Linked DNA regions of Struthio camelus. The protein of the gene in region 1 purifies or fractionates together with the protein of each later gene. This does not show direct contact. Links are inferred from orthologs where the notes say so. Each region holds a gene or a part of one and is shown in the gene's direction. Other genes may lie near its edges.

Region 1 (7,181 bases):
CCTCGCGTCCTGGCCGAAGCCCTCCGCCTGGGCGCCGGCGCGGCCCAGCCCGGCTGCGCGGGGTGCGAACGCGCTCAGGCGGGGCCGGGCGGCGACGCCAGGCCGGCGCCCCTCCGCCCGCCCGTCCCGGGGCCGCCCAGGGCCGGAGCCGCGGCGGCGGCAGGAAAAGGAAGCGCTGACCGCAGCCTGGCACGGCCGGAGCGCCCGCCCGGCCGCGGCGCCCGGCCTCCCCCACCGCGCCCCAGGGTCCTGAGCCGAGGCGGCGGCGGCGAGGGGCGCCGGCAGGGAGGGCCGCGCGCCGGGACCCCCCGCGCCGCCCCGGCGAGGCCGGCGGCCCGCGGCCCCCACCCGGCCCCCGGAGCGGCCGCCCGGCCCGGCGGCGTGCGGAGGCCGCCCGGCGCGAGGCGGCGGCGCGGGGCCGCCCGGCCGCCCGCACTTACCCCACAGCAGCAGCAGCAGGAGCCGGCGGCGGAGCCGGCCGGAGCCCGTCGGCGCGCGCGGTGCCATCCTGCAAAAGGCTGCCGGCTAACGACCGGGACAAGTATTTCAATGGAAATAACAGGAAGCAACTCCTTTCCTCTGACAGGGGCAGTTTGACTACAGGAGACGTGTGAAAAATGAGATTGCTCAGCGCTGCTTTAAAGCAGATCTCCCGGCGGGACCCCGTCGGCGTGGCCGCGCGCGGCCCCGCCGCCGCCCCGGGCCCCCGGCGGGCATCGCTGCCGCCCCACCGGCCGGGGCGCGCGGCCGGCGCCCGGGGCGGGAGAGGCTCCCGCTTCGCCGGGCCGCTGTTTGTTTACTTGTGTATTTCTCCGTAATCCCGTCTGGGCTGGGTTGTGAAATCCCTCGTCTCCCGCGCGGAGGGCAGGCAGCCCGGCGGCCGGGCGGGGGGAGCGGACCGGGGGAGCGTCATGTCCCCGGCCGGGCCCGGCCGCGGGTCGCGCGGGGGCGGACGGAGGCCCCGGGCGCGCGGCCCCGCCGGGCACCTGCCCCGCGGCCGGGCCGGGCCGGCGGCAGGTGGGGAGGGAGCGGAGCCACCGCGGCCGCGTGTCCCCGGCCCGCCGCCCCCCGCGCGCCGCCGCCGCCAGGCGCTCGCCCCAGGAGCCCGCTGAGACCCGGCGCGCTCACGGCGCTCCCGGGCCGGGCCGGCGCTTGCAGCCCCACGTTTCCCCTCTGAAAGCCGGCCGGCGGGACTCACGGAGCGCAAACCGCGGGGCCGCGGCTGGCGGCTGGCGGGGACCCTCCCTGCGCGGCGCTCCCGCCGCCCGCCGCCCGGCCGGGGCGGCCCAGCGGCTGCGGGACCCGGCGGCACCTCCGGCCGGAGCGCGGCCGCATCTGGCGCGCACCACGGGCCGGGGCCCCCGGATCCCGCTCCCCGTGGCCGCAGCGGCTGCAGCCGGCCTCCGGCCCGCCGGCGGGAGCCCTTGCCAGGGAGACACCCAGTGATGTCAGCCCGGCCCCGGGGCCCCGGCGGCCGGCCGGTCGCGCCCTCCGCCGGGGCCGGGGCTGGGGCCGGGGCTGGGGCACGGCCCGACCCCGCCAGCCCCACCTCACCCGCTGCCCCCTCCGTCCCCCTCCAGGCCCTTCCCGGAGCCGGCCCGGAGGAGGCTCGTGTTCTGCTCGGCGCGGGGAGGCGCCGGGCCGCTGCCCGGCCGGTTCTGCACCGCTTTGCCGGCTCCGCTGAGCGTGAGGGCCACCGCCAGCGGGACCAGGCAGCCGAGCCCGGCGGCCAGCGCCGCGGCCAGCCCCGGGGGCAGCCCGCCCGGCCCCGGGCGCCCGGCCCCGGCGCAGCCGCTGAAATACTCGGCGTGGATCTGCAGGAAGAAGGCCTCCAGCGTGGGGCTGGGCCAGGGGCAGGCCAGCACCTCCGCCAGCAGCTCCGTGCAGTTGGAGAGCTCGCTGTAGATGCTGCGGGGAGAGGGGAGAAGACGCTGGCGAGCCGGGCGGCCTCGGGGCTCCACCGCGGTCCGGCCTCAAGCACGCGCTCACCACGGCGAGCGCCCAGCCCTTCTCCGCGTGCCGCGCCGGCGAGCCAGGCGTGCAGCCGCTGCCATGCGCCGGCAGCGTGCAACCCAGCACCACGTGCACGCTCTGGCTGGAGAGCTGAGCGCCGTGCATGCTCCGGCCAGAGAGCCCAGCGCCGTGCACGCTCTGGCTGGAGAGCTGAGCACCGTGCACGCTCCGGCCAGAGAGCCCAGCGCCGTGCACGCTCCAGCCGGAGAGCCCAGCGCCGTGCACGCTCCGGCCGGAGAGCCCAGCACCGTGCACGCTCCAGCCGGAGAGCCCAGCGCCGTGCACACTCCAGCCGGAGAGCCCAGCGCCGTGCACACTCCAGCCGGAGAGCCCAGCGCCGTGCACGCTCCGGCCGGAGAGCCCAGGGCTGCACACATTCTGGCCAGAGAGCTCAGCGCCGCGCTCGCTGTGCCGGCAGTGGGGTCGGACCGACCTGCCGATGTGCTCCCAGCGGCAGCGGCTGCCCTCGGGGGTGGCCGTGAGGGCGGCGTGGAAGGGGGCCCAGCAGTACAGGGAGATCCAGTCCCGGTAGGTGTCCTGGCAGCGGGCTGGCCCGTCCAGCACCTCCAGCGGTCCTGCGGGGAGGCGGCGCGTGAGCCCCCGGCCGCGCTGCACCGCGCTGCGCCGCGCCAGGCTCGGGCACCTCCACTCACCGTCCTCGTCCAGATAGAGGTAGTGACCTGGGAGGAGAGACGGCGCCGTCCCGTCAGCGCCGCGGGACCCCGCGCCGGGCAGGGCCGCGTCTCCTGCCGGGGCAGACGGGCTGGTCCCGCCGAGGGGGCCGCGACGCTGCCGGGGCCCGGCGCCATCCCCGCACGGCGCTGCCGCGGCCTCACCTTCGTCCGGCAGGTCCGCGTCCGCCGGCTGCCCGCGCCCTGCGGGAGGGAGAGGCGGGCGCGAGGGCTGCAGAGCGGCCGGGGGGCTCGGGGAGGCGGCGGCGCGGCTGCCCCTACCCCGCCGGAGCAGGGGGAGCAGGAGGCAGCAGAGGAGCTGCGCCCGCGCCCCGAGGCGCATCCTCCCGCCGCCGGGGCCGCCGCGGGCGGTCGGGCCGGGCCGGGCCGGCAGCGGCCCCTCGGGATATATCCGCGTGCCCAGGGCCGGTGCCAGCCCTTTCCAGGCGCTCCGGAGCCAATGGCTGGGAAGGTCGGGGAGGGAGCAGCCGGTTTGGCCTGACTCAGCAGGCGACGCCGGCAAAGGCATCAGATAAGGGGTCGAGCGAGACGCGGGGGCTGCGGGTGGCGTGGGAGCGAGCTGCGCTGCCGGGACCGGCCTCGGCCCGGCCCCGGGGCCTCCGGCACGGCGCTGCCGCCGCGGCCCGCCGCGCTCCCGGCTCGGGGCCGCCCGCAGCCGCTTCCTGCCCGGCGCCGCGGCAGGGCCGCAGGAAGCCCAGGGCCGCCCACGCCGCCTCTCCGGGCCGAGATCCCGCTCCTGCCCTGGTGGGTGGGGAGCCCCACGCGGGTCCCGCACCCCGGTGGGGTTCCAGGGCCCACGGGCCCACAGGCGCCCGCGTCCCCCGGGATCCCCTCCGCCGGCAGGCGATGGTCCCGCCCGGCTGAGAGCCACCGGCCGCCGCGGCCGCGGGGCCCATGGGCCCTGGGTCCCCACTGGGGTGCGTGACCCGCGTGGGCTCCCCACCCACCAGGTAGACTCGTGTCCAGGCCCCCACCCGCCTGGGGCAGCTGACCACATGGGAAGACCCGTGTCCGGGCCTCCACCCAGCTGGGGCACCCCAGCCAATGGGGGGACCCATGTCCAGACCTCCCACTGTGTGGGGCACCCCACCCACCGCAGAGACCCATGTCCAGGCCCCCACCCGCCCGTGGCACCCCACCCAACGGGGGGTCCCCTCCCACGTGGGACCCGCCTGACCGCAACCCCGGCTGCGGCCCAGCCCCGCGCGGGACCCGCTCCGCCCCCCGCCCGCCCCAGTGGTACAGCCCGCCCTCCCCACGCGCGGGACCCCCTCCGCCCCCCGCCCGCCCCAGTGGTACAGCCCGCCCTCCCCACGCGAGGGACCCCCTCCGCCCCCCGCCCGCCCCAGTGGTACAGCCCGCCCCGCGGCACAGGCTCCGCCCCCCGCCCCGCTCGGCCCCCGCTCGGCCCGGCGCGGGGGCGTGGCCAGGCTCGGGGGCGTGGCCAGGCGCGGCGCGGGGGCGTGGCCGGGCTCGGGCCCGGGGTGGCGGCGCAGGCGCAGGCGCGGCGGCGCCCCCTCCCCCTCCCCCCCGCCCGGCGCGATGGCTGAGGAGTGAGTGCGGGGCGGGGGCGGGGCCTGGGGGGCCCGGGCGGCGCGGGGGGCCCGGGCCCAGGGCGCGCGGCGGGGCCGGGCCGGGGGCGGCGGGAGCCCCCGCGGGGCCCGGGGCCCGGAGGGGCCCCAGACAGGGTGGCCCGGGGGGCGGGGGCGGCTCCTCCCCCACCCCCACCGGGGGGTGGCGACCCTCCGTATCGCGGGTCCCTGCCCTGGCGACAGCCCCACGCGGGGGCCTCGGGGGCGCCCGTGGGGCGGATGGGGCCTCCCGTGGGGCAGATATGGCTTCGGTGATGCGGATGAGGCCTCCTGTGGGGCGGTTAGGGCCTCCCGTGGGGCAGATTTGGGCCCCCGTGAGGTGGATGGGGGCCCCATGGGGCAGATGTGACACCCGTGGGGCAGATGTGGCGCCCATGGGGCGGATGGGGCCTCCCGTGGGGCAGATAGGGCACCCGTGGGGTGGTTGGGGCCTCCCGTGGGGCAGATTTGGGCTCCCCTGGGGCAGATATGGTGCCTGTGGGGTGGATGGGGCCTCCCGTGGGGCAGATTTGGGTCCCCGTGAGGTGGATGTGGCGCCCGTGGGGTGGTTGAGGCCTCCCGTGGGGCAGATTTGGGCCCCCGAGGGGCAGATGTGGCACCCGTGGGGCAGATATGGTGCCTGTGGGGTGGATGGGGCCTCCTGTGGGGCAGATTTGGGCCCCCGTGGGGCGGTTGGGGCCCACGGGTAATTTGGGCCCCCATGGGGCAGACGGGCCCCCCGAGGGGCAGCGTGCGGCTCCTGGCTGCGCTGCCCGGCGTGTGTCAGCAGCCCCTTCCCGGCGCCTCGAGCCCCCCGCAGCAGGAGCAGGATTCTGCTCCCTGCGTACTTCCCGACTGGGAATACTCCCCGGCGCCGCTAAGCCTTCGCATTAAACCACCCCTTGACGATCTTCTTGCGTGGCCTGGCTCGCTCCGTAGGTGGTTTTTAACACCATCACCCCCAGGAGATGTGTGCTGGCATGAAGATTGCTGTATCGATTTTTTTTTATTATTATTTTAACATTTGAATGGCAGAAAGTCTTGTAAAAACATTTGAATGCTGTGGAAATGCAGCTTTGAGAACAGTCCGTAGGAAATCAGGGAGTTAATTTTTAGGGATGAATCATTGCAAAAGCAGAGGTTGGAGAAATCTACTCGAGTGTCTCCGAGTCTGAGCCGTCCGGTGGCTGTGTGGCTGCGTCAGGATGGAGTCTGCTCGACCTGCTTGGGAATCGGCCGTTCAGACAGAGCTATACGGATCTGCATGAATGATTACTGTGTGTGCGAAAGGCTGAAGCAATGAAACGCGTAGGAGTGTAACACGTTTCAGAGGCTAATATGACTCTTGGGGAAAATCGTGTTTCTCTGCAGAGTTCTATTGTACAGTACATTTCTGAGAAGAAGGACTAGAAAATAGAAACAAAAAACCTTCCTGGCTTCCTGTCACTGTGAGAAAGTGCTAGCTTGCTGTAGCCAGACTAGTGATGTCGTTATTTGTTTTGTTGGTGCCCTGGGCAAATGGAAAAAGGGGAACACCCAGAACGCTTTGTCCGTAGGGGATTCATAGGGATTCAGACTGGACATAAGCAGCTGAATCCCTGTAAGCATGCTTAGTTCAGTGCATCTTCTTATGTCCAAAGCTCTCCAGGCTTTTCAGTGCAATTTATTGTAATTATTCCTTAAATAGGACTAGTGCAGATTTATATAGTTATTTTTTCCTGGGTATAGTCTATGATGCATTTAAAATGCACATGGATTTCTTTTAATAGCCCTCGTTTATAAGTTTAAGATCTCCTTTATTTGATATTTATCCTTTTTGTATTTTTTTGTAGAAAAATGGAAATCGCCACTCCTCCAACATCAAAGTGTATTATATACTGGAAAAGAAAAGTCAAGTCTGAATATATGCGTCTTCGACAACTCAAGAGGTTTCAGGCAAATATGGGAGCTAAGGTAAAGACATTATGAGGATGGTTCTAGCTGAAAGGATATCTCCTAAATATTTCACATTAGTTTATAGTCCTAGAGCAGTTATCAGATGAGTGATTCATCCTGCTAATTGCAAAGTTATATTAGTTGTAAATTTGAAGAGATATTACTTTTCCTCATGCTCCATTAGTAGAGCAGTGTGGTCAGTGTCCAATATATAGGTACAACAGTTTACCAGCCAAGTACTTGCACAACTGCAGTAAGAAGACTAATTTCAACTTGTTTTTAGAAATATCCCTTTGCTCTAAACCTTTCAGTGCAAAGGGACTGGTAGGTTTCAGGTGGCTTCTTTGCCTTTCTTGTTGGCAGGTAGGTTTTTAGAAAAGGTCAGCTGTGGCCAGGAGTTATCAAAAGACTGTTGACTGTTCAGTAGATTTACAGTGATGTTTTATACCACTGCTGAATTCAATTAGAATTCCTTCTAATAGGTACCATCAATTGAAATGCTGTGCTGAGCGCGTAGTTTGATATTTGAAACAAAATCTCAGGAAGAATTTTAGTATTTTAAACCTTAACAAGATTTTTAAAAATTTGAGTGCATCTTTCTCCCATTTTAGGCTCTGTTTGTGGCCAATTTTGCGAAGGTTCATGAAAAAACTCAAATTCTGAATGAAGACTGGAAGAAGCTTCGAGTTCAACCGGTGCAGTTAATGAAGCCGGTCAGTGGACACCCTTTCCTAAAGCAGGTACGGAGAAGAGAGCAAAAGTGGCACAGCAGCAACAAATGCTGGTTAGAATCACGGCTTTGCAGGGGACTGTGAAGATACTTAATCTTTTTGTTTTGTCCTGCCATATGTCAGTATCAGAGCATGCCTAGTATTCTTCCATGATGCAAAAACAGGCAAAAACAAAAAGGGTTTTCATGTCAAGGAATCAGCATGAGTGAACGCAGGGCTTAGCTGTATTTGTCCTGTAG
Region 2 (7,528 bases), on another chromosome or scaffold:
ATTAACTTGATCTCAAGTAGCATTACCACAAAAACTTGATGTTGAATGAGGCTGAACAGAGACCATTTTCCCCAGCTTAACTTATAGAATAAGACTAGAGAGGAAGAAAAAGAATAGTAAAATAACTAGTAATGAGCATGGAAAAGTGAGGGGAAAACTAAGAAAATATGAAATAACTTGCTTTCTTTTTTTTTCATTTAGTGTTTTAAATGTCATTTGTGTCCCATTTCTAGGGTGAGTGAGCACAGTGTTCTCTCTTATACGTGTTTTAAGGCAGGAAGGACGGTCTTGTGTTTGAAGCAGAAGACTAGGAGTCAGGCAACTGAGGTTCCCCTGGGGACTCTTGGATCTCTTGCTCTCCTGCACAGCAGCCCTTCAACAGCCTTACACAAAAGTTTTTGCGTCCACAGAGCGGAGGTAATACCTTACAGAACTGATATGAACACTAGCTGCATTTGGAATACACGGTAAAGTCTCTGAAGTGTTACATAAGCGTAGATGTTAATATAGACGTACATCGCCTGGTACAGGCTGAGCTGTATGGAAAGCACAAGCAGCCACTGACTTCAGTAAAAGTCTTCCTGATACATCACCAGGGGAAAATCAATTATTCTCCCTCCTCCCTAACCCTAAAACAGATGCGACTCCCCCCTTCCAGAATTGTTGCCTTTACTTTGAAGGTCCGAGTTTCATTTTGCAGCCGGTTCCCTGCTTTCTTTACCGGGAAAGTCGCGTACTTGAATTTTACAGGTTTTTGCTTTAAAACTGCATTTCCAAGTCACATTACCATCCATCCACTTTTAACACCGAAGTCAGCTGGGTGCCCGACAGGACATAAAACACCCCCGTCAGCACCAGGGCTCCCGCAGACGAGAGCAGCCTGCGGCGATCAGCCCAGCCTGCACAGCAAGCTGCGCACGGGCAGCGGGTGCCGGCCAGCCACCCCGCAGGAGCCGCGGGACGCCGCAGCCGCCACCGCAGGCTCCTCTCCGCAGCCGCACCAGGCAATTCAAACCTCGCAGCGAGGCCGCTCCCGGCCCGGCCCTACCGCTGCAGCCGAGCAGCCCGGGCCCCTCCGAGCAAGGCGGGCAGCCGCGGGGCTGCGAGGCGCCGCGCAGGGCCGACGAGTGACCTCAGGACACCTCCGAGGCACACCGAGCAAATCTCACGCCAGCCGGGGCAGCCTGTCCTGAGCTGACACCGCCCGCCACGCCGAGCAGCCGGCTCCTAAGACCCGTCACCGGCGGGCCTCGTCGTCTGCGGCCGCGATTCAGATAAATTAAGTTTCGTGCTGCACCTCCCTAACCTAACCCAGACGCATTAATCCTCGCACTCTCCCAACAGTCCCCCACGGCGCCTGCCTGCCTCCTTCCCCCCCCACACCCCCCATTCCCTTTCTGCAAATCCCCAATAAACTTCCCTCTCTCCTCCTCCTCCTCGGCCGCCCCCTCCCCCGGGAGGCGGGTGGGGCCCGCCTCGCCGCCACCTCCGCCGCCGCCCAACCGCCCCTCGCGCGCCCCCTCCCTCCGTCCCCCCCCCGCCGCCTCCACCACCGCGCGGCGCGGGGGGGGTGAGGAGGGGCAGGCCAACGGGAGGAAGGCGGGGGGGGGAGAAGGAGGAGAAGGGAAGGACGAGCGTCGCGAAGGGGGTTCCGCGCGGAGCAGCCAATGGGCGGCGGGCAAGGGGGGGCGCCGCGCGCGGCACGCCGGGAGGTGTAGTTCCCCGCCGTCGCCATTTTGTGGCGAGGGAACTACAACTTTCCCGCGAGCAAGGACAATTCTCGGGCCCTGCGCGGAGCCCCGCCGGCGAGGCCAGGTGCTGCCAGCGCGGCGGGCCCCGGTGCATGCCAGAGCAGGGGGACGTGAGGCGGGGCAGGGCAGGGCAGGGCAGGGCCGGGGCGGAAGGAGAGACCTTGGCAGACAGGAGGAGTGAGGCTGCTGCGGGGCGGGGAGGGGAGGGGGGCAGGGCAGGGCGGCCGAGCGTGCTGTGCGTTGAGGGACCGTCGCCAAATTCCCCGCTCGGGCTGTGCTGCAGGGGGGCAGCGGCGACCTTGGCCGCCGAGTGGCCGCACTTAAAAACCTTAAAAAAAAAAAAAAAGAAAGAAAAAAGAAGACGAGGGGGGAAGAAGGAAAAAAGAAAGGAAAAAAAAAAAAAAGGAAGGCGTGTGACGCTTAACCTGCATGAAGTGTAAGCGAGGCCTGTTGCATGCGTTGAATGCAGCGAGGCCGGGTGTTGCGGCTGCTGTCCCGGTTGGGAGTTAAGGCCAAGCCCTATCTGGGGTGTGTGTATGTATGTGTGTGTGTGTGTGTGTGTATATATATATGTATATACATACACACACACACACGGGCGCGCGCGCACACACACATACACACACACACATACATATATATTAAAAAAAAATCAGGTCCATTTAAAGTTGCTGCCGGAGAGCTGTTCTCATTGGTTAGGGGGAGCTGGAGGAGCAGAGACACACACAGTGCGTGCAGCCCTCGCTGCTGCTGCTGGGGCTGCTGCTGTTGCTGCTGCTGCTGCTGCTGGGGCTGCTGCTGCTGCTGCTGCTGCGAGTTGTCTCTGCTGCTTTCCCTGCTGCAGCAGCACAAACGTGACTTCCAACATTTTTATTTATCTTCTCCTTTCAACCCCGTTCCTTTTCCAAGATGTAACTACAGCTCTGACACTAAGGACCTGCAGATCGCTTAGGTGGCTTGAGCAAGAGAAAAGGGGATATCAAGGGCGTCGTTTTTTGTGTTTAGGGGGAAATTTTCCATTACAATGTTTCACTAAAGTGATTTTTTTTTTTGCTTCCTTCGCATTCGTCTCTTCTTCTTCTTCTTTTTTTTTTTTCATCCCCCATATCTCGGATTTATTGCTAGGAGAATCACATTGTGAGGAAAGAAAGTCGGATTACAAGATACCACTACAAACAACCCCCTCCCCCCAGGATTTTTCGGTATTTTTTTTTTAAATTGTCGCGGCTTTAATTCATGAAGCAATTGTCCCCTTTTGCAATCAGAATTTGGATACCAGAATGAGCAAAGAAAGACCCAAGAGGAATATAATTCAAAAGAAATACGTAAGTGGTCATAACATATATCATTTGACTCCCAGTTTTAGGAAATGGCAGTGAATGTCAAGTTTATAGCTAATCCTGCAGCTCTAAGGCTTTTAAAACAAATGTAATGCTGAATTTTATTTTTCTGTGGTGTGGTGGGGGAGTTTCATAGGCCCCTTTTAATGGGAAAACCTTCTATGCAGTTTGGTTATAAAACCAGATTTGTGTAGCGATACCTCCAGTGAATAAATGTATTGACCTCAAATGACACAATCATAATCTAGTTTTAGATGAAAGGCAGGGAGCTCGGGGGGCTGCTGTGATAATGTAACGAAACTGCATTTTCAAGCGGTTTTATTAATATTGCGCTTTGCATGCAAAAGAACATATTTGACGATATGCGTGTGTATATATTCCTGCCTGGTGAAGCCACTGTGGTTGTTGAAAGCCCTTTAAGTTGAAATCGAGTGTCTGGTTATGGCGAGCTTGTTTCTTGCACTACCACATCAAATCTAATGTATGTGATCGTTTGCTTATCTGGCTCGCAATAGAAAGCAAACCAGTTGGGGATCGTGTTGCAGGGAATGCGTTTGTTGGGATTGCCTTTAATAATGGGAAAATGGCTCGGTGTAGTTTAAAAATTCATTATGATGGCTTGAAAATTTGGGAGAATACAGTGCAGCCCGGGCTGTATTTCTGTCTCTCTTTATTCAACCGCTTAACCAATCCCTCGTAATTGTCTAATCCTTTAAACATATAAATGTGCATGGATAGTTGGATTTTTGTTCGTGCTCCAGTTACGTTTTGATTGGCATAGGGGAGTTTTTCTTTACGTTTGGAAAAACTGAGGGGATTAGCCAAATATGCAGTAGAGCGAATAATGATTTTTATCTGCATGTTTAAAAAATTCTTCATTTTGTGGAGAGAAAAAAAAGGAGTTGCTTTAGGGTGTGTGTGATGCGACACTTAAAAAGTTGTAGTTTATATGGTACGTATCATTTGTGCTATTTTTTTCTGCGGGGGGGGGGGATATGTGTGTTTCTTTGAAGGGAGGGTGACCTTCGGGACACTTTACCTTGTTATTATATAGATTTCATAAAAACTGCAGTTGACTTCAGATGACTGTTTCTATCGATTTTCGACCCATTAAAATGTAATTTAGAGGGACGTGAGATTAAACAATAATTAAAAACTTCAGCCTATTCTCCGCCGAATTTTCGAATTAAAATATATCCGCATTGCAGAGGAATTGGGAGTCTGAAGCTGACTAGTTTAAAGTATTGCATCCAAACAGGAACATTGTGTAGAAAGTCTAGCGAAACATGTAAGACGTCCACGTTTCCCAGGCAGTGAAACAAAGCAGAATGGGGGGGGGGGAGGGAGGAAGGAGGAAATTGTGATGTTAATAATTAAAAGGAACAGGGTGGGGGTAAACACCCCCAAACCTGTTATTTCTAAAACCTTTCGCAGGTTTGTGGGAGCGAACAATGCAGCGTTACTCTGGCTACACTCATAGCGCTGGGCAGAGAATTAGTAAAACTACTGTCAGCCCCTCAAGCCCCACGGGGGAGGTATGAGGTACACATGTGAGCATGCTAGGGGAGACAATGTATCTTGTGTTACAAGTTTTAACTTGGCGGCGGCAAATCGCTTTTTTCCCTTTTTTTTTTTTTGCGCCTCTTTTTCCTTTTTTTTTTTCTCTTTTTCCCTTCCTCCTCCTCCTCTCTTTTTGGAAGGGGGAAAGAGAGCGAGCGCGGGGAGGGGAAGGCGGGGGGAGAGTGCGGGGGCGAGCGGGCTGCCGTGCGCCTCGGCGGGGGCGCGGGGGGCGGCGCGCGGCGGGGCGCGCTGGCGGCGGCGGCGGCGGCGGCAGCAACAGGTTACGCGGGATGTCAGCGCGAGCCGCGGGCTCCCGGCCACGCCGCCCGGCCGGGGCCAGGTTCGCCTCGCTCCCGTGACGTCACAAAGGGAAGGGCCTGCGCGCCGTGGAATCTTCGTCGCCTCGGCGCTCCGGGGCCCCCCCCCCTCTTCCTCCTCCTCCTCCTCCTCCTCCTCCTCCTCCTCTCCCGCCCCCGGCGTGACGTCAGAGCCGAGGCGGGCCGCGGCGGTTGGGGCGGGGGGAGGCCCCGGGGCGGCGGGGGCCGAGGCCGGCCTGGCCCCGCACCAGGTGAGCAGGTGCCGGGCTCCGCTGCCCTGCCCCGGCCCAACCCGGCCCGGCTCGGCCGAGGGGCGCCCTGGTGACCGTGGGCCGCCCGGTTTGGGGGCGCCCTCCCTGCGGCGAAGGTCTCTGAGGTCCTTGGGCCCCGCTTCCCCCCCCCACCCCCCGCCGCCTCCTCCCCCCCCCCCCCCCGGTGGCGGTGCGCGGCTTGGCAGCGCCGTGGGGCGCTGCGGGGCGAGCGGCGCCCCCGCGGGTGGCGGCAGCCCCCGGGATGCTGGCGGGGTAATGACATGGCATGACACCTTTCTTTTTCCTGTGACCTTTTGAGCGGTGCAGCATCATAGCAGAGCATGCTGGGCAACGGCTTCCTCCTAGCAAATGCCAGGCAGGTCTTTTGTCTGCCTGCTCGGGCTGCAGGTGCGAGCGAGCGCGTGCGCACCCACAACTTTGGGCAGCTGTCACCTGGCCCCAGCCTTCGCAAAGGTGACTTGCGCCGGTGGCTGCACGCGTAACCCGCCCTCCCCAGTTAGTCTTTCCTCTTTTTGCCTCTTCACCAGTAATGTCCTTCGGCTTCGCGTTGAGGCGCAGTTGTTGATCACACACAAAAGTGCGTCCTGGGTCTTTGGGTGACTCACAAGTTGGGAGTCCGCGCTCAACGCTTCAGTAGATCTGGAGATGTTGTCGTTTTAGGTGACCTGGAAAATTTGCCACTTGAAGTTCACAGTCGCTGAGGAAAGGCAGTCCCTCTGTATTTTACTGTCATGAGTAATCTTATGATCTCTTTGTATGGAAGAGCTGGCTGCTAGGAATTCCTGTGGAGCTGCTGTACGGGAGCAGAACAATGGTCCACCTAGTGTCATATACTGCCTGTGTGGCTGGCTGAATGTGATGCTTTATGGTAAACAAAGGTCTGAAGTAAGAAGGTATGACAGTCGTGCTAGTGAGTAATACCTTGTCATAAGTAGCAAGACGATGAGCAAACCCACTCAACTAAACAAAAACAAAGTACAGGCTTGGTGGTGTGCCACAGAGCTGAGATCCTCACATCACTGCCGACTGTCATATTGCAACTGGCGTCTGTTTAGACCATTACTTTTCATTTACAAAATGAATTCTGAAAACAAAAAGGCAGTGAGAACAATGGAGTAAAACCTACGTGTTGTAAGCTGCTTGCTGCTTCCGTACAGCTTGACTTGCTGCTTTGTAAATAATGGTAATTAAAAGTTCCTTTAAACTTTGAATGTATTATCTTTGCAACTGTTAACCCAGGAATGAGGAAATCCGTGTATATATGTCTTTTTTTTCCCTGCTCTTTAAAAATGATATCACTTAATTTTTAAAAGAACTATGGCTGACTCATACAAATCTTTCTTCTCACTTTACCCTCCTCCTTCTCAAACATCTTTACATATCAAATATTGCCTTTTGGCTCAAGCCTCAGAAAACTGACAGCTTTGTAAAGCATCAGCCGAGAAGCCAGACTGCATTCGGTATGCGCTTGGAATTAATAGTTCTTAAATAAAAACCTTTGAAGTCTTAAGCATAATTTCACAGGTGCATTTTTCTGCCCGTTTTTGTGATGTCAAATAGCAAATCTTCTGTTCTTTCTGGTTTAGGTCTTGAAGTAACAGACCTGGATTACTGTCTTAAAATACTTGCATAGTTCTGCCACGGTAGCAGATGGCAAAATATAATTAAGTAATAATGTCACTACTGTCTCCTTGTGTGATTTGTTTCGTTGTCCTTGCAGAGGTAAAAGTGCTGTAGTCTGCCATAAGGTGACACGCTTCACCTAAAGACAGCCGCGTAAGCCCCTCAAACAGGGTCAACGGGGCCTGTAGAGAATTAGTGTATTGCAGACATCTGAGGAGAGCTCCTCTCAGTGCTGCCGGTTTTTTAAACAACACTTTGTGCTTGGGGGCGTATTTATAGCACGATCTGAAAGAGCGCTACATATGTTTAAGTAATACGTGTATAAATTGTGTTACAGCAAAATCCTCAATATCTCTGTGAGAGGAGCAGGCACGAAATTGCCTCGCTTATCAGATCGGGTTCTTGAAACCCGGCTGCTGCGGGATGCCGCCAGGCTGCAGGTGGGTAGGTGGGTGATGGTGGCCTGTGGGGCTCCCGGCGCCTTCCCCAGCGCTGTGGGGTGGGGGGCTGCCCGGGGCAGGGGGCAGGTGGTGGTTTAGGGCTGGCGCGGTGGTAGGGCAGCGCCACCTCCTGAGGGACGGACGTTTTGTGTGCAGGGGCACAGCAGACTCGGGGTGGGTGCCTCCGTCCCCCCAGGGCTTCAGCCCCTCCATGTGGGGTTTCCT
Region 3 (7,914 bases), on another chromosome or scaffold:
TCGGCAAGGCCAAACCTATCCAAGCATTTAGTTTTCTGTCCTTTGGACCTCGCTCACTGTCTTTCGGTACAAAAAGAGCGTCAGTATAACCAAGATACATGCCAGAAAATTGCTTTCCTGCCCCTTAATTTTCTTCGTTGACATACTTCTCACAACAAAAGCCCTTCCCCCTCTTTATGAAGCAAATGCAAAGATGTTGTTAAATACAACATAGAAACACTGCACCTCAAACTCTTATTATTTCAGTCGCAGACTCTCTCAGTCTCTTTAAAGTTTTCTTACACTGTATACTGTGAACTGACAGATTGCTTCTTATTCAACCATTTCCAGGAAACAGAGAGATTTCAGCCATGGAGGGGTATGAACTGTAAATTAGGAATAATTAAGGCCTTATATTAGAATTATGTAAGCATTTAAAAGCTTGTAAGTGTTTTGAATTGTGAACCTGCAGATATCTGTAGATATTTACATATCAAAGACCACTTAGTAATAAAGAATCTCAGCTAAATTTTTACAGGTAATTTCAGAAAGGTTATATGTCTGGAATAAAATTCTAGAGTGAATCAGGTATTAGGGAAGCTTTAAGCTTCAGCTTCTTTTAAGCATTTTTTCAAGCATCTTAAGTATATAAAGTGCTTTTACTAGAAAAAAAAATGTTTCTCTGTGAAGACCAATGGCAATGTGGTCAGCATCCAGTAGCACTAATGTATTTTCTTCTGTAATGTTGATATACAAGAATGCAAAATCTTACCTATCTAGAAAAATATTTTAAGATATCTATTTTGTTCTGTTTTCACAAATATTTTTATATCCTTAGGATAGAGCGAGAATAATTACTGCAATTTTATGATAACAATTGTTATCTGGTTATAAGGCAATTAATACTAATTTCTTCATATCTTATAACAGCACTCACCTATTTTTTATATTTTGAAATTGAAGATCCTTTTCTGAGTCCTAGAATAATAAATACAGCATAAGTGCACTGTCTCACTAATTATTATGTTTACGTAAAAGTAGATGTACCATATTCAACTTGATTGAACATAGGAAGATCTCAGGTGAGCTTCCTTGCTGTTCCCATGCTCAAACAATACTGAGAAAGTGGCCTGGGATCTAATTTTCCCTCCTTACTGAATTGTGGTCATGACAACCATCTGTACAAGGATAAGCTTTACAGTATTGTCTTGTTCGAGGTTATCATTTTGACGTTACATTGGGTGATACAATAAGGCAATGGAAAATAATACTCTACAGCAGTTGGTGCTCTCATCTACATACACTGTTGACTTAAGTGTATGGGTTTTCTGTTTTGATTTGCTTACTTTTATTATTTGTTTATAGAATTCTTGCTAAGAAAGTGTATAAACATAACACCTGCTTTAAAACGATATACTAACATTTGAGAGAAGGGCTGTTGGCTAAGGGACATGCCACTATTTCTGAGTCTGTATTTAAACATTATTTAAATTTATCCAGCTTTACTGGTTACAGAAAATTTACATTTTGAACATGAAATTTAAATTGTCTCTCTTGTGCCAGCAAGGCAAGATACAATTTCAAAAAGTAAAGACTTTGCTATTATTCATCTTTGTGGCAAAAATGTACCAAACAATATGTGGACAAAAATAAACACTAAGGGAGAGACGTGTCAGGTCAGTATTCTTTAACCCCCTTTGAAAACAGAGCTATTTGTGAAAGGAGGTGGAAGAAAGCTGAACGTATTTATTATTATGCAGAACCTTATAATCAAAGTCTTTTTTTTTTCCTGGAACTCCTACACAAGAGAGCTCTTACCGACATTTGAGGAGAAGTAATTTAATTTGGCCTTGGCCATGCTGTGACAAAAAGTATATATGTAATACGTCTGGAATTGAAAACACAATAGCAGAGAGTGCTTAAACTGTATGTGCAAATACTTTCAAGGCATTATCAAAAGGCAAAAAAGAAAACAAAACAGGAAAGTCCATTCTAAAGTCATCATATATAGTCTTATTGGATCTTAACAGAAGAAATAACTAGTTGCTTTACTACTAGTGCTGAGCAGAAAGCAGACGAAGATTCTAGTTTGCTCAAAATCAGGTTAATGATACATGTCTCTCGATAATTGGAATTGTATAGAGTGTCTAAAGTAGGCTGACTTTTACTTTTGCTGTTCCTTCTTTGCCCCACATATGCCAGTGATAATCAGGATCCTTTCTGCTGCAACTATAGGTTTCAGCATTTGCTGATTTAAGCATTTCAATTTGAAAACCATTTATAAAAGAATCATTTGCACATTTGCAATAAGATTCCCAACCCTGTAATTACCTCATCAGGTTGGGCAAAAGAACTATAAAAGTGACTGTTCCAGTGCATATTTACTCTCCAAGAGTAGAAGTAGCTGAATTTAGTCATCTATGTTTAGGTATTTCTCAAACATTTGATTTACTTGGTCTAGTAAACGCATCAGGTGAATAAGACTTGCATGGTGATGGCTCTAGAAAGGAGCTTCCTGTAGGATGGTGATTCAGTGACCTGCTAAACTGTGTAAAAACTAGTTACTAAATTACTGTGATGGAAGAGGGGGTGTCTGTGTGAGGTGCATAGGTTGGAATTTTTCCAGCTATCAGTAAGAGCCGACCTTAAAAGGAAAGAGAGGTTAACATGGCTTTATTTAGGATTTGGCTGGGAGCCCATACTGTGCTTCACAGAAATTCTGAGAGAAAAATATTATATGGAATCAAATTTGTGGGGATAATATTGATATGGTCTGTTGTTTATAGTAATAAAGCTAATAGTAACAAGCTTTGGGAGCAAAGTTCTGGACTAACTAGTTCAATCCCCCTAATAGAAAACTAATCAGTGTATCAAACTTTAATCATCCTTATTTACTGTGGGGATTCTTAGTTTCTTTTAGCGCTGCCCTCAGATAAAGGTAATGCTATTCCAGCAGCAACTCCTAGCTCTGTGACAAGTGGTGTTTTATGTTTAGGGTGTGGCCATGCAGCTCTGTGCCTTTATGCTAGTTATGAAAACGGTTTCAGGGAACAATATTCCAAGGAAAAGGAGGGTAGAGCTACATGTGTCTTTCTGATCAAGGAGGTTTTTTATTTTTTTTTAAGGGGGTGCTGGTGGCGAGCTAAACAATTTACACCGGGAGATCGCACTCTGAGAAGTTCTGATTTAAGCAATTTCAAAAAGACAGCAGAAACAGGTTGGTAAGACCCTCCAAGGGGGACTGTAAAAAAGTAAGTTGTGAGGGAGCCAATTATTGATGTTTAGTCATGTTCATCCTATGGCTGATAAAAAAAAATCTTACTTTTTAACTGGTTTAACACTGGTTCTCACCTACTATTATCAGTATAACTAAAAGTTAAATACTTGCACGTGTGTTTTTCTCAGCTTGAGTAAGTGCAACTTTTTTTCTCACGCCGGTGACCCCTTGCCTTTAGTACTAGTGGTACCTAACTGCTGCTAGCAGTATCTCAAAATACGTGAAGAGCAGGCCATGGCAATTGTGCTGTGCAAGCCTGTTCTTCACAGATCTAGAGGCCATCATGATCATGGGCCGAGCAGTGGCTAGTTAGTACATCCAAAGGGAATTTTAGGGAATTATTCCCTAAAACCTGTATTTTAAACAATTGCCATCATGAAGAGATTCAGGTTTTACTGTTTTACTTTGACACCCCTCAGAGTCGGCCAGATTAAGGTGTAAAAATGACAGCTCTTTCAGACTCATCTGCTTTAAACATCACTCTCTTTGGTCCTCTTTTGGGTGACAAGCTGCCTCCACGTCCTGCTGTCCTCAGGACCATGCGCACCCAGGGATTACCCTCCTGGGGACCACTGACCCAGGGAGGCTGGCAAGCTACTGTACTGCACCCCTGGAGACGTCAGGGGGCCAAAGGGAGTCAGAGAGGGTCTGCAAACAGATCCAGTGTCGTTTCCAATGGCTGATCTTTCTGTGGAAGCTCAGCCAACACGTTAAGGCAGAGTGAACAGGCCAGACTGCCCGTGCGAGATCCCATCTAGTAAATACTTGCATTTCCACTACTGCTTAGAGGTCTGAACTGTGCCAAGGAACTGCCCCTATGGGACTGGGGCAAACTTTCTATTGTGTGTCACTGTACAACTGCTGCATTTAATCAGAGCTGCTGCTGAGGCTGCGCTAAGCCTAAGGAACTCTTCATAAAAACAAGCTGCTGGTGATGATGAAAACTGAAAAGCCTATTCCAGTTCGCTAACACAGCTGCTGCTAGAAAGAGAAACTAAACTTTAGCTCAGCTCCTAAAATGGCAGTTATCTCGAAGACTGCGACTGCAGAGGAGCTTCTCCTTCAGACTGTCTACCCTCACGCCCTTGGTGTGAGCAGGCCCCCCCCCCGAGCAGCCCCTGCTACCTGGGCCGGGGAGGACACCGCGGGCGCCTGGCTGCCCTCTGGGGCGCGACGCCGGCTGCCCCGGCCGGCCAGGGCCCTTCCCGCCCTCCCTGGATCATTCTAGACGCGCGGGCCGACCCCGCCGCGGCGGGGCGCCGAGGGGACGGGCCGGCTCCCGCCTCACGGCCCGCAGCCCAGGTGGGCGGCGGGGGCAGGTAGAGCGGTGCGGGCGGGCAGGCAGGCTGCGCGGGTCCCCGCGGGACTGCGCCGCGCCGCGCCGCCGGCACCTCGCCGCCTCGCCACAGGTGCGACGAGGGAACAATAGGCGGAGGCTGGCGGGGCGGCGCGCACCCCTCTGCGCTGCCGTAACGAGTCCCGGCCGCGGGCAGGGATATTCCCCCCCCTTTAGCGAGCACGCCTAAAGTAGTCCCTCTTTGTTCACCAGCGGGCAAGGTTCGGCTTCACCTGTGTCCTTCCGCCGCAGCGCGGCTGCCGCCCCGCCCCCTGGCCGGGGAGCTGCCTGTCGGCGCAGGCGGGGCCCGGCCGGGGCGGGGCCGCGGCTCTTTGTGCTCCCACAATGCACCAGCTTCTCCTCCGCGGGAAACAAAAATGGCGAGGGGCTGCGGTGGAGCCGGGCTGTCTGTGAAGCGGGTCTGACCCCTCCCCCGCCGCCGTCCCCTCGCCTCGCCGCGGGGTCCGTGCTCGGGGGGGTCCCGCTGCGCACCGAGGGCCCGGCCGCGCCGGGGCGCCGGGGGGAGGGCTCCTGAGCTGGCTGATTTCCCTGTATGAGGCGGTTGGCACCACCGGAGAGACCGAATGAGGTGGGGTGCGGGGGGCGGGCGGGCCCCGCGGCGGGGGGGAGGGCGTGGGGGGCGGCGTCGCCGGGCCCCGCGCGGGGCGGGGGAGGTGCGGGGCAGGGGGGCGCCCCTCAGCTGCGGCCCCCCGGGCCGCATCCTGCCGCCGGCACGGGGGTCGGGCCGCCGGCGGGGAGGGGTGCGAGGGGCCCCGCTCCTGCGCGGGGGCCCCGGAGGCCGGGGCGGGGGGAGAGGGGGCGGGAGCTGCCTCTGCGGCGGCCGGTGGCAGGCGAGCGAGGGGCCGGTGGTGCTCCTCCGTGACCAAAACAAAGGGAGCGAAGGCAGGAGACCTTGTAACGGGGGCCTCGGGGGTGTTGCAGCCGGGCGGTTGCCGCTGGGTTTACCCCAGCTGGGTTTTTTGTGTGTCTTGCTTAAGGACTTTGGCCGAATGGGCTGCATTTGCTCAAGTGTAAAAGAGCAACACAAAAGAGGTGGTGGTGGCTGCTGGTAACTTTGCTTTTTCTTCTGTGATGCCTCTTCTTTTAGTCTCTGTCAAACTAGCGCGATTCAAATGTGCTGAAAACTTGCGGTTTTAGTCTACCGAAATGTGGGAACTGTTGCTGGCTGAAAGGATGTGCAACAACATATTTTCTTATCTGTGATGCTTGAATTTTGTGGAAAAACTGGGTTGGTACTTTTGTTAGTGGGAACAATATGCTACTGTGTGAGACAGTCTGGACACTGATATCGAGTGTTGGAATATTAGGGATTGTCATCCACCTCAGAAGCATTTGGGTGCTATTAAAAGGAAAGGGCCTGCCAGGAATGCAGTGTAACCTTATGCTTATTTCTTGAATTTCTGATGGTTTGGCTCTGTTCAGGACATTAGGTAATACATAGTAATGGATAATAGCATGATCTTCTTCTGACCTACGGTGTAGGTCATTCATACCTTATACCGAAACTGTCAAGCACAGAATAATGAAAAAATGGCTTCACTGATTTTTGTGGTTTATAGTCAGGTTGGTAAAAAGCTAATAAGCTGATGTTTGTCCCTCCTTGGAGAGCTCAAATTGCAGTTAATTGGAAAGCCTTTGAGGCTGAGAGGAGAATAGGTGTTGTAATATTAGAATACAGGTTAATATGTTTAATTTTTTTCACTTTCAGTGAAAAGAGACTAAGGGGGCACAAAGACTAAGAATATGAAAGAAGGGACGTAATAAAGTAGTGAAAGAGTTAGAAGGATCTTTGTGGGGAGCCACAAGCTAGTGAGATGTGCATCTAAACTTAGAGAGTAAAATGTAGTAATGCTTTCCACAGTTATCTTTATCTGGGAAAATAGTTATGTGACTTCTCAACAAGTTCTTATCTCTGCTCGGTGAAGAATGCTGAATTTGATGTCAGTTGTCTGAAAAGTTGGCTTAATATGTTTGTTTACCAATTGCTTAGATATATAACTTAAAAACAGTTGAAGGTTGCACTCCCAGTCAATATCAAGACTAGCCTCAGATACAGTTACGTTTGTTCTTCCATGCATTAGGAGATCAGGCAGAGTGTATGAGAACAGCTGTAACAAATAAGTTGCAGTGCATTTGCTAGGAATGGGCTGGTAAAGGGTGGCCTTCCATATAACCTGGAGATAGATGAGGATGAAGCTAGTACTAGAAGCATCATAAATTGCTGTAAAGTGTGTTTTATACTTCTAATGTTAGTTGTGGAAGAGAAAGTTTGGAGGGGAAAAACATCTGTAAGTGAAAGCCAGTATAAATCTTTCTCTTCTCTTAGTTTGTGAGTTGACAGCACTTTTTGCATGACTGACCTCTGAGCTTGCTGCAGAGTTGGTTTCACCTTCTTTACAGGCCTTCCTTGCAGGAAATGGAGGGGAAGTGTGTCTTTGAGTAAAACAAACCAGGAGAAGAATGGTAAAACGATGGGTATTGCTGATGGGTCCCTGGGCAGGGTGATACTTGTCGCTGAAAGTACTGAAACTAGTTGAATTAACTTGTTGAAGGATCCCGATTTCAATCTGACAGGCTTTTCCTAGAAGATGGGAACTCTGTTAAGCAGGGAAATTGAAAAGCTTGACTTTCCCTTTCTTTAAGAGAAGGGGAATTCATGATGACAGCATTCCTGATGAACCTGGACACACTTCATTCACTAAATATTTCAGAGGACAATAACACTTCATCCTTTTAAAAAATAAATCAATTTCTATGTATTTCTTTCACTGGAGCGTTTGTAAAGGTCGCTGTTCCTGTAGAATGGCCTTAAAGGAGGAAATATGTCCTCATGGTTTTTGACTGCTTGTGGAATTTTTCCCCTTCTCTCCTCTCTCCCCAGTGCAAGTCAGAATGTGCTCTGTGATCTCATTTACTGCTTGGACGCACGCTCATACTGTACTCTTTTAGGTATGTTGCTGGGCACGCTGTATTTGGATACTGTGGAAACCAGAAAGTCAATAGCTGGGTTAAAGGAGATGCTAAGTATACGTTTAAGGAAAGATCTGATTAAAAGCGAGGTGTGTTGCATCGGCATACCATACCCTTAGTCTCTCCTTGATACTACCTACTTCCTCTTCTTTGTGTATAAACACATGATCAATCCCAAGTCATTCTACAAATGGCTATTACAATAAAGTACTACCTTGCCCTATTTCCCTACATGCTACAATACATAGGGTAATACATTGTTATGTAATTATTTGTTAAAGACTGTTTTAATTCTATTTGATGTGCAAAAGAAAAAAAAAAAAACACTTTT
Region 4 (7,374 bases), on another chromosome or scaffold:
AAAATTATGTAACGGCCACATTAATACAAACCTTGCACAGCTGCGGGACCGCTTACAAGCTCTTCATGTCTTACGCAATTGCACAGAAGCACGCAAAGAAAGTTAGGTTGAAAAAGAAATGGATGTGGATTAAATTCATATTAAACAAACAGCAAAAAGACATGAAATCCAATGCCTGAACGCTCTTCCTTTTAAAGGCACAGCTGGCATAAAGCAGATGAGCGTCGGATTTAACTACCCCAGCTGTGACCGCAACCATACCTCCGCTCCGGGGCGCCCTCGGGGGCATGGCCGTGCTCGGAGCGCTGCCCCGGCCCGCGGCGGTGCCACGCCGCCGCCGCCGCCGCCGCCGGAGCCCCCTCGCCGCCCGCCGCGCTGAAATCGCAGCGACAGCAAGGTTTGACTAATCCAGCGAGCGACTTCTGCTGCGGAAAGTAACATCTGCAATGAATTTTGCTTCCTCGGGGCCAAATCGAACGGTGCAGAAACGTCGAGGAGAGTCCTAGAGCGCTAAACCGGGGCTGTTTGCTCCACGGTTAATGGCTAGGTGAGCAGAGAATAACGGCGCTTATGTAGCTGGGACGGTCTAAATAAATAACCATGGAAAGGTCAGTGGGGAAAGATCATCCAGCTTTTCCTGAATCAGCTTAACCCGGCTGAAAAAACCCAGAGAAGGCATGAGGCTTCTAAACCCTTGTTCAGCAGAGGAAAAACTATGGTGGAAACGGCGGTAGCGAGCCGCTCTGCAAGGTGCGGGAGTGAGCCGAGCCGCGGGCTGGCCATCGGCGCAGCCCGCCGGAGCCACCGCTGCACGGGAGCCACCGCCGCGCCAGAGCCACCGCTGCACGGGAGCCACCACCGTGCCAGAGCCACCGCCGCGCCGGAGCCACCGCTGTGCCAGAGCCACCGCTGCACGGGAGCCACCGCCACGCCGGAGCCACCGCTGCACCGGAGCCACCACTGTGCCAGAGCCACTGCCGCGCCGGAGCCACCACCGTGCCAGAGCCATCGCTGCACGGGAGCCACCGCCGCGCCGGAGCCACCGCTGCACGGGAGCCACCGCTGCACGGGAGCCACTGCTGCATCGGAGCCACCGCTGCACGGGAGCCACCGCTGCACCGGAGCCACCACCGTGCCAGAGCCACTGCTGCACCAGAGCCACCGCCATGCCGGAGCCACCGCTGCGCCGGAGCCACCGCTGCACGGGAGCCACCGCCACACCAGAGCCACTGCTGCGCCAGAGCCACCACTGCACCGGAGCCACCGCTGCACCGGAGCCACCGCTGCGCCGGAGCCACTACTGCACCGGAGCCACTGCTGTGCCAGAGCCACCGCTGCGCCGGAGCCACCGCTGCACGGGAGCCACCGCCGTGGGGCTGCCGGGGCAGCGGGGCCGGCGCCGGCTCAGCCCTCGCAGCGCCTGGAGCCGGGCAGCATCTCCTGCAGCTCCGGAGGGCGCCGGGGCCGCCCAGGGCTCCTTCTAGCTGGGGAGGCCGAAGGCGCCCCAGAGCCCCGGGCGCGCGCGGCCTGGGGCGTCCCCGCCGGCCCGAGCCGGACCCGGCGCCGCAGCGCCGAGCGAGCGCGGGAGCCATGAGTAAGTTGCTTTTGGTCCGGACTAGCGCAGGGAAACGCCGCAGAGCCAGCGGCCGTCTCTGTCCACCAGGCGAACGATGGTGCAAGAGTTATTTTAGTCCTGCTGTGACTCACATATCATGACTCACCGCAAATTTTGGCCGTTTGAGTGTTTTGAAGATGCGTCAGGTTCCCCGTGAACCCGGAGGACGAGTGTTTCATGCCGAGGGAATGAGCGGCGTTCTGCACCCCCCAGCCCGCCGGGCAAACCTCTGCCCGCGACCTGCGCCCGGCGCGCCTGCCCCGGCGCTGCGTGCTCTCGGGGTGGGCCTGCTCGGGCGCCCGCTCCCGGCAGGCGGGCAGCAGGATGCGGCCCCTGGGTGCGGCTGGCACGGCACGACACACGTAACACGGCAGGGCATGGCTGGGTCCAGCACGGCACAGCACAGCACACACGGCATGGCACGGCACGCACAGCACGGCACGGCACGGCACGGCACGGCACGGCACAGCACGGCACACGTAACACGGCAGGGCATGGCTGGGCCCAGCACAGCATGGCACAATACACACAGCACGGCACGGCACAGCACGGCACGGCATGGCACGGCACGGCACAGCACACAACACGGCACGGCAGGGCACGGCACAGCACAGTATGGCACAGCATACATAACAGCACAGAACAGCATGGCACGGCAGGGCACAGCACAGCATGGCACGGCATACATAATGCGGCAGGGCATGGCACAGCATAGCATTGTACGGCATGGCACAGCACAGCACAGCACAGCACGGCACGGCATGGCACGGCACAGCAGGGCATGGCAGGGAACAGCACAGCACAGCACGGCATGGCATGGCAGGGCACAGCACAGCAGGGCAGGGAACAGCACGGAATAGCACGGCAGGGCACGCCACGGCACGGCACGGCAGGGCACGGCACAGCAGGAAACAGCATGGCATGGCAGGGAACAGCACGGCATGGAACGGCACAGCACGGCACAGCACGGCACAGCATGGCATGGCAGGGCACAGCACAGCATGGCACGGCAGGTCATGGCACAGCACGGCAGGGCACAGCTCGGCACAGCACGGCACGGCACGGCACAGCATGGCACGGCAGGTCATGGCACAGCACGGCACGGCATGACACAGCATGGCACGGCAGGGCACAGCACAGCAGGGCATGGCACAGCACGGCACAGCATGGCACGGCAGGTCATGGCACAGCACAGCACGGCACAGCACGGCACAGCACGGCACAGCATGGCACAGCACAGCATGGCACAGCACGGCACAGCACGGCACAGCATGGCATGGCAGGGCACAGCACAGCATGGCACGGCAGGTCATGGCACAGCACGGCACAGCATGGCACAGCACAGCACGGCACAGCACGGCACAGCATGGCACAGCATGGCACAGCACAGCATGGCACAGCACGGCACAGCATGACATGGCAGGGCACAGCACAGCATGGCACGGCAGGTCATGGCACAGCACGGCAGGGCACAGCACGGCACAGCACGGCACAGCATGGCACAGCACAGCACGGCAGGGCACAGCACAGCAGGGCATGGCACAGCATGGCACAGCACGGCACAGCACGGCACGGCACGGCACAGCATGGCACAGCACAGCACGGCACAGCACGGCACAGCACGGCACGGCAGGTCATGGCACAGCACGGCACAGCACGGCACGGCACAGCATGGCACAGCACAGCACGGCATGGCACAGCACGGCACGGCAGGGCACAGCACAGCATGGCACAGCACGGCACGGCAGGGCACAGCACGGCACAGCACAGCCTGGGGGCTTTAGCTTCATACACAGAGAGAAACGAGAAGCAAGGGAGAAAAACAGCCTTCGTGCCCCCGGCTCCGGGAAGCCCTGTTCCTCGCGCTCGGGCGAGCGGCGGGAAACGATCAGCGTTTCGGCAAGCCGAGCGCCCTCGGTCACTCCGCGCCTGCTCGCCAGGCTGCCAGGGCAGCGGACGGACGGCTTGCTGACGGCGTCCCCGGGCCCTCAGCAGGGCAGGAGCGCGGCAGCTGCCCACGGCTTGCAAAACGGGACGCCGGGTTTCAGGTGGTGCGTGGCGGCGTCCGCGCGCCCTGCTCACGCGCCGCATCTCGGAGCCGGGAGCTTTCACACCCGCTGCCTTTCACGTGTGATTGACCGCTGAGAGCCTTGCGCTTCGTCTCGCCCCCTTCTTCGATACCGCTCTCTGCCAGGATATTTTGTGGCCTGCGATGCTGCTGGCAGGATATTTAGTTTTGAGACAGCGTAGCTTTGCTGTTTTACTTTTGGAAAGTAGTTGTTAGCGTGTCCGAAACGATCCGTAACGTGCAAAAGGCTGCAGGGAGCCGCGCGCAGCGCCGCCGCCGGCCCCGGGGGCGGCTGCCGGGGAGAGCCGCAGCCTGCGGGGCCGCTGCGGTGACACAAAGGGATTCGGAGACGGCAGAATCATACAGAAACATGTAAAAGGCATTTTTACCCCTGCGCCATTCATTTTTAACGCTCGCTGGCAGCGCCCGCTCTTTCACAGGTGAGCTAGGGAGCAGCCGGTCCGGGGGCCGAGGCGGCACGGTCCTGCCGCCGGGCTCATCGACCACAGCCGATAAAGCGCCGACAGACCGCGAGCGCGCCCGGCGCCGGCCCGCCACCGGCAGTCAGCCGGCCCGCCGGCTGAGCAGGCCTGCAAACATTTCTGTTTTGGCAGCGCTTTCGAACAAATAGCAAATCCTTCAGACTTCTCCTTGGCACTGAGCAGAGCATTTTTGCAGTGATTGATTCTCTCTGTTGAGATTCAGAGAAAAATCCCCCCGTTTCTAGGAATGCCGAGGAGCACAGGTTGTTCCCGCGCGCGGCGCAGCATGGCTCGGCCTGGCACGGCGCGGCACGGCACGGCGCGGTGCAGCACGGCTCGGCCTGGCATGGCGCGGCACGGCCTGGTGCAGCACGGCTCGGCACGGTGCAGCACGGCTCGGCGCAGTGCAGCACGGCTCGGCATGGCACGGCACGGCACGGTGCAACACGGCTCGGTGCGGTGCAGCACAGCTCGGCATGGCACAGCACGGCATGGCACAGTGCAGCACGGCACGGCGCGGTGCAGCACGGCACGGTGCAGCACGGCATGGCGTGGTGCAGCACGGCTTGGCATGGCACGGCATGGCACGGCGCGGTGCAGCACAGCCCGGCATGGCACAGCACGGCACGGCGCAGCATGGCACGGTGCAGCACGGCTCAGCATGGCGCGGTGCAGCACGGCTCAGCACGGCACGGCATGGCGCGGTGCAGCACGGTGTAGCACAGCACAGCGCGGTGCAGCACGGCATGGCATGGCGCGGTGCAGCACGGTGTAGCACAGCACGGTGCAGCACGGCATGGCATGGCGCGGTGCAGCACGGTGTAGCACAGCACGGTGCAGCACGGCATGGCATGGCGCGGTGCAGCACGGCTCAGCATGGCACAGCACGGCACGGTGCGGTGCAGCACGGCTCGGCATGGCACGGCTCGGCACGGCTCGGCACGGCACGGCGCAGTGCAGCACGGTGCAGCACGGCACGGCGCGGCACAGCGGGTCGCCCCGGCCCCGGGAGCCCCCAGCGACGCCACTTGCTGCCCGCGCGGGAGCCGGGGTGCCGCATGCCAGGGCCCTGCCAGCCGCGGGGGGTGCGGGGCCCTCGCAGGTGCCCCGGAGCGGAGCGTACCCCGGGGGGCAGCTGTGGGTACCCCACGGGGGACGGTTGCAGACACCCTGCGCGGGGCAGCTGGTGGGGTGACCCGCAGGGGGGATGGTTGCAAATACCCCACGCGGGGCAGTCTTTGGGATGACGCCCGGGGGGCCCATTGCAGACACCCCACGCGGGGCAGTCTTGGGGACAACCCCCAGGGGAGGCGGTTGCAGACACCCCACGCGGGGCAGTCTTGGGGACAACCCCCAGGGGAGGCGGTTGCAGACACCCCACGCGGGGCAGTCTTGGGGACAACCCGCAGGGGAGGCGGTTGCAGACACCCCACGCGGGGCAGTTTTGGGGACGACCCCCAGGGGGGGCAGTTGCAGACACCCCACGAGGGCAGTTTGCAGGTGCCCCACGCGGGGCGGTTTGCAGATACCGTGCATGGGGCAGTTTGCAGACACCCCACGCGCGGGCTGGGGGGGGGGAGGCAGCTGCCGGGGCCCCACGCGGGGCAGCCGCAGATCCCGCCCGCCCCCAGCTACCATGCGTGCGAGCGCGAGTGTGTGTGTGAGCGCGCGCGGGCCGGGCCGAGCCGGGTGCAGCACACCGAGCGGCGCGGGGCGGCGGCGGCCGGGGGCGGCGCGGGGCGGCCGGGGGCGGCGGCGGCGCTCGCTGCCCGAGCGGGACGGGGGCGGCCCGGGAAGCGCGGGAAGATGGCGCCCCGCGCCCTGCCCCCGCCGCGCCGCGGCCCCGGCGGCCCCCGGGCGGGCGGGCCCTGACCCGGCCCGGCGCGGCGGCGGCGGCGGCGGCGGCGGCGGCGCGGGGAGAGCGCGGCGGCGGCGGGCGGTAAGGGGCGGCGGCGGCGGCGGCGGCGGCGGCGGGGCGGGGGCGGCCGCTGCCCGCGCTTCCCGCGGAGCCGCAGCCCGCCGGGGCGGCGCGGGGCGGCGCGCGGTTCCCGGGACGGCGCCGCGGCGGCGCCTTTGAATGAGCCAATGGCGGCGGCGGCGGCGGCGCTGCCCCGGGGCGGCCGCCCGGCAGGTGCCGCCGGCGCCGGGCACTGCCCGAAAGCACCGGAGCGCGGTGCCGTGTGCGCCGGGCCGAACCGAACCGGGCCGGGCCAGGCTGAGCCGAACCGAACCGGGCCGGGCTGAGCCGAACCGAGCCGAACCGGGCCGGGCTGAGCCGAGCCGAACCGGGCCGGGCCGAACCGAGCCGAGCCGAGCCGAACCGGGCCGGCGGCGATGCCCCGCGGCGCCCTGCGCGCCGCCGCCGCCTGCCCCGCCGGAGGCGCCCGCGGCGTGCGCCGAGCCCGCCTGGGCGGCCGCAGGCTCTGCCGGCGCCGGGAGAAGCGTTGGCCGAGGCGCGGCTGGCCGAGCCGCTCCCGCCAGCTCCGCTGAGCATCCCCCCCTTCCCCCCCCCTTCTTTCTTTTTTCCCCCTTTTTTTGTTTTGCCTGCCGGCCTGGTGCGCGGTCCGTTTAACGGGTGGGCTTCTTAAAAGCGGCCAGGTCATCCCCGGGGAAGGTGAAGGTTGTTAATCGCGCGCTCCGGCCGCAGGCAGCTCGTCCTGCTCGAGACGCCGTGCGGTCCCGTGTTGCGATGCGTGGCATGAAGTCGTGCGTGTCGCCATCAGAGGGACGCTCCTCGGCGGGGGGGAAAGTAACTTTTGGGTTGTTCTGTCGCGTTTGCCGGCGGTCCCGAGGCGAGCTGCGGCCGGGGCGCTGTCGAGGGAGGGCGGTTTGTTTGCCTCTCGCGCTTCAAGCCTTTGCGGCAGCGAAACTCGGCTGCTCCGTTTCACGCGCTGTTTGGAGCGCTCCCGCTTCCCTGCCCCGACGGGGCTCTCGTGCCCTTCGGGGAAATTGCATGGAAATTATGCATGAAATTTAACATCAGATTTAAAGCTCTGGACCCCCAAGCACGCAGCCTGCGCGGCGCCCGGTGGGCAGCTCGGGCGAACAACGGGCTCGTTACACCCCGGCCGAACCCCGCGGGACGCAGGGCAGCGGCGGTGGCGGCGGGTGACGAGCGCGTGCTCCCCTCCCAGGGCTGCCGAGGCTCATGGAGAGCAGCAAGCTGAACCCCATCATCCGGGATGTCTACGCGGCTGCCAGCCACGTCC

What was found.
Region 2: the proteins of EZH1 (region 1) and JARID2 purify together in Homo sapiens (affinity purification with mass spectrometry; 4 studies listed by BioGRID and IntAct, with this or other methods). This does not show direct contact. The link is inferred for Struthio camelus from reciprocal best matches to the Homo sapiens genes EZH1 and JARID2.
Region 3: the proteins of EZH1 (region 1) and MTF2 purify together in Homo sapiens (affinity purification with mass spectrometry; 3 studies listed by BioGRID and IntAct, with this or other methods). This does not show direct contact. The link is inferred for Struthio camelus from reciprocal best matches to the Homo sapiens genes EZH1 and MTF2.
Region 4: the proteins of EZH1 (region 1) and PHF19 purify together in Homo sapiens (affinity purification with mass spectrometry; 4 studies listed by BioGRID and IntAct, counting the BioPlex papers as one, with this or other methods). This does not show direct contact. The link is inferred for Struthio camelus from reciprocal best matches to the Homo sapiens genes EZH1 and PHF19.

The regions. Positions count from the first base shown.
Region 1 is NC_090966.1:7,813,022-7,820,202, reverse strand, and holds the start of EZH1 (histone-lysine N-methyltransferase EZH1), read left to right. Parts: upstream 1-4,181; 5' UTR 4,182-4,247; coding exon 4,248-4,258; intron 4,259-5,192; exon of another isoform or gene 5,193-5,211; intron 5,212-5,449; exon of another isoform or gene 5,450-5,584; intron 5,585-6,108; coding exon 6,109-6,229; intron 6,230-6,822; coding exon 6,823-6,951; intron 6,952-7,181. Other genes in the region: RAMP2 (receptor activity-modifying protein 2), read right to left, coding at 1-53, 441-597, 801-913.
Region 2 is NC_090943.1:98,478,869-98,486,396, forward strand, and holds the start of JARID2 (protein Jumonji), read left to right. Parts: upstream 1-4,527; 5' UTR 4,528-4,542; coding exon 4,543-4,626; intron 4,627-7,528.
Region 3 is NC_090949.1:18,605,099-18,613,012, reverse strand, and holds the start of MTF2 (metal-response element-binding transcription factor 2), read left to right. Parts: upstream 1-4,907; 5' UTR 4,908-5,176; coding exon 5,177-5,181; intron 5,182-7,914. UniProt on the Homo sapiens protein: Polycomb group (PcG) protein that specifically binds histone H3 trimethylated at 'Lys-36' (H3K36me3) and recruits the PRC2 complex, thus enhancing PRC2 H3K27me3 methylation activity.
Region 4 is NC_090961.1:3,054,820-3,062,193, forward strand, and holds the start of PHF19 (PHD finger protein 19), read left to right. Parts: upstream 1-4,368; 5' UTR 4,369-4,412; coding exon 4,413-4,428; intron 4,429-6,053; exon of another isoform or gene 6,054-6,104; intron 6,105-7,299; coding exon 7,300-7,374.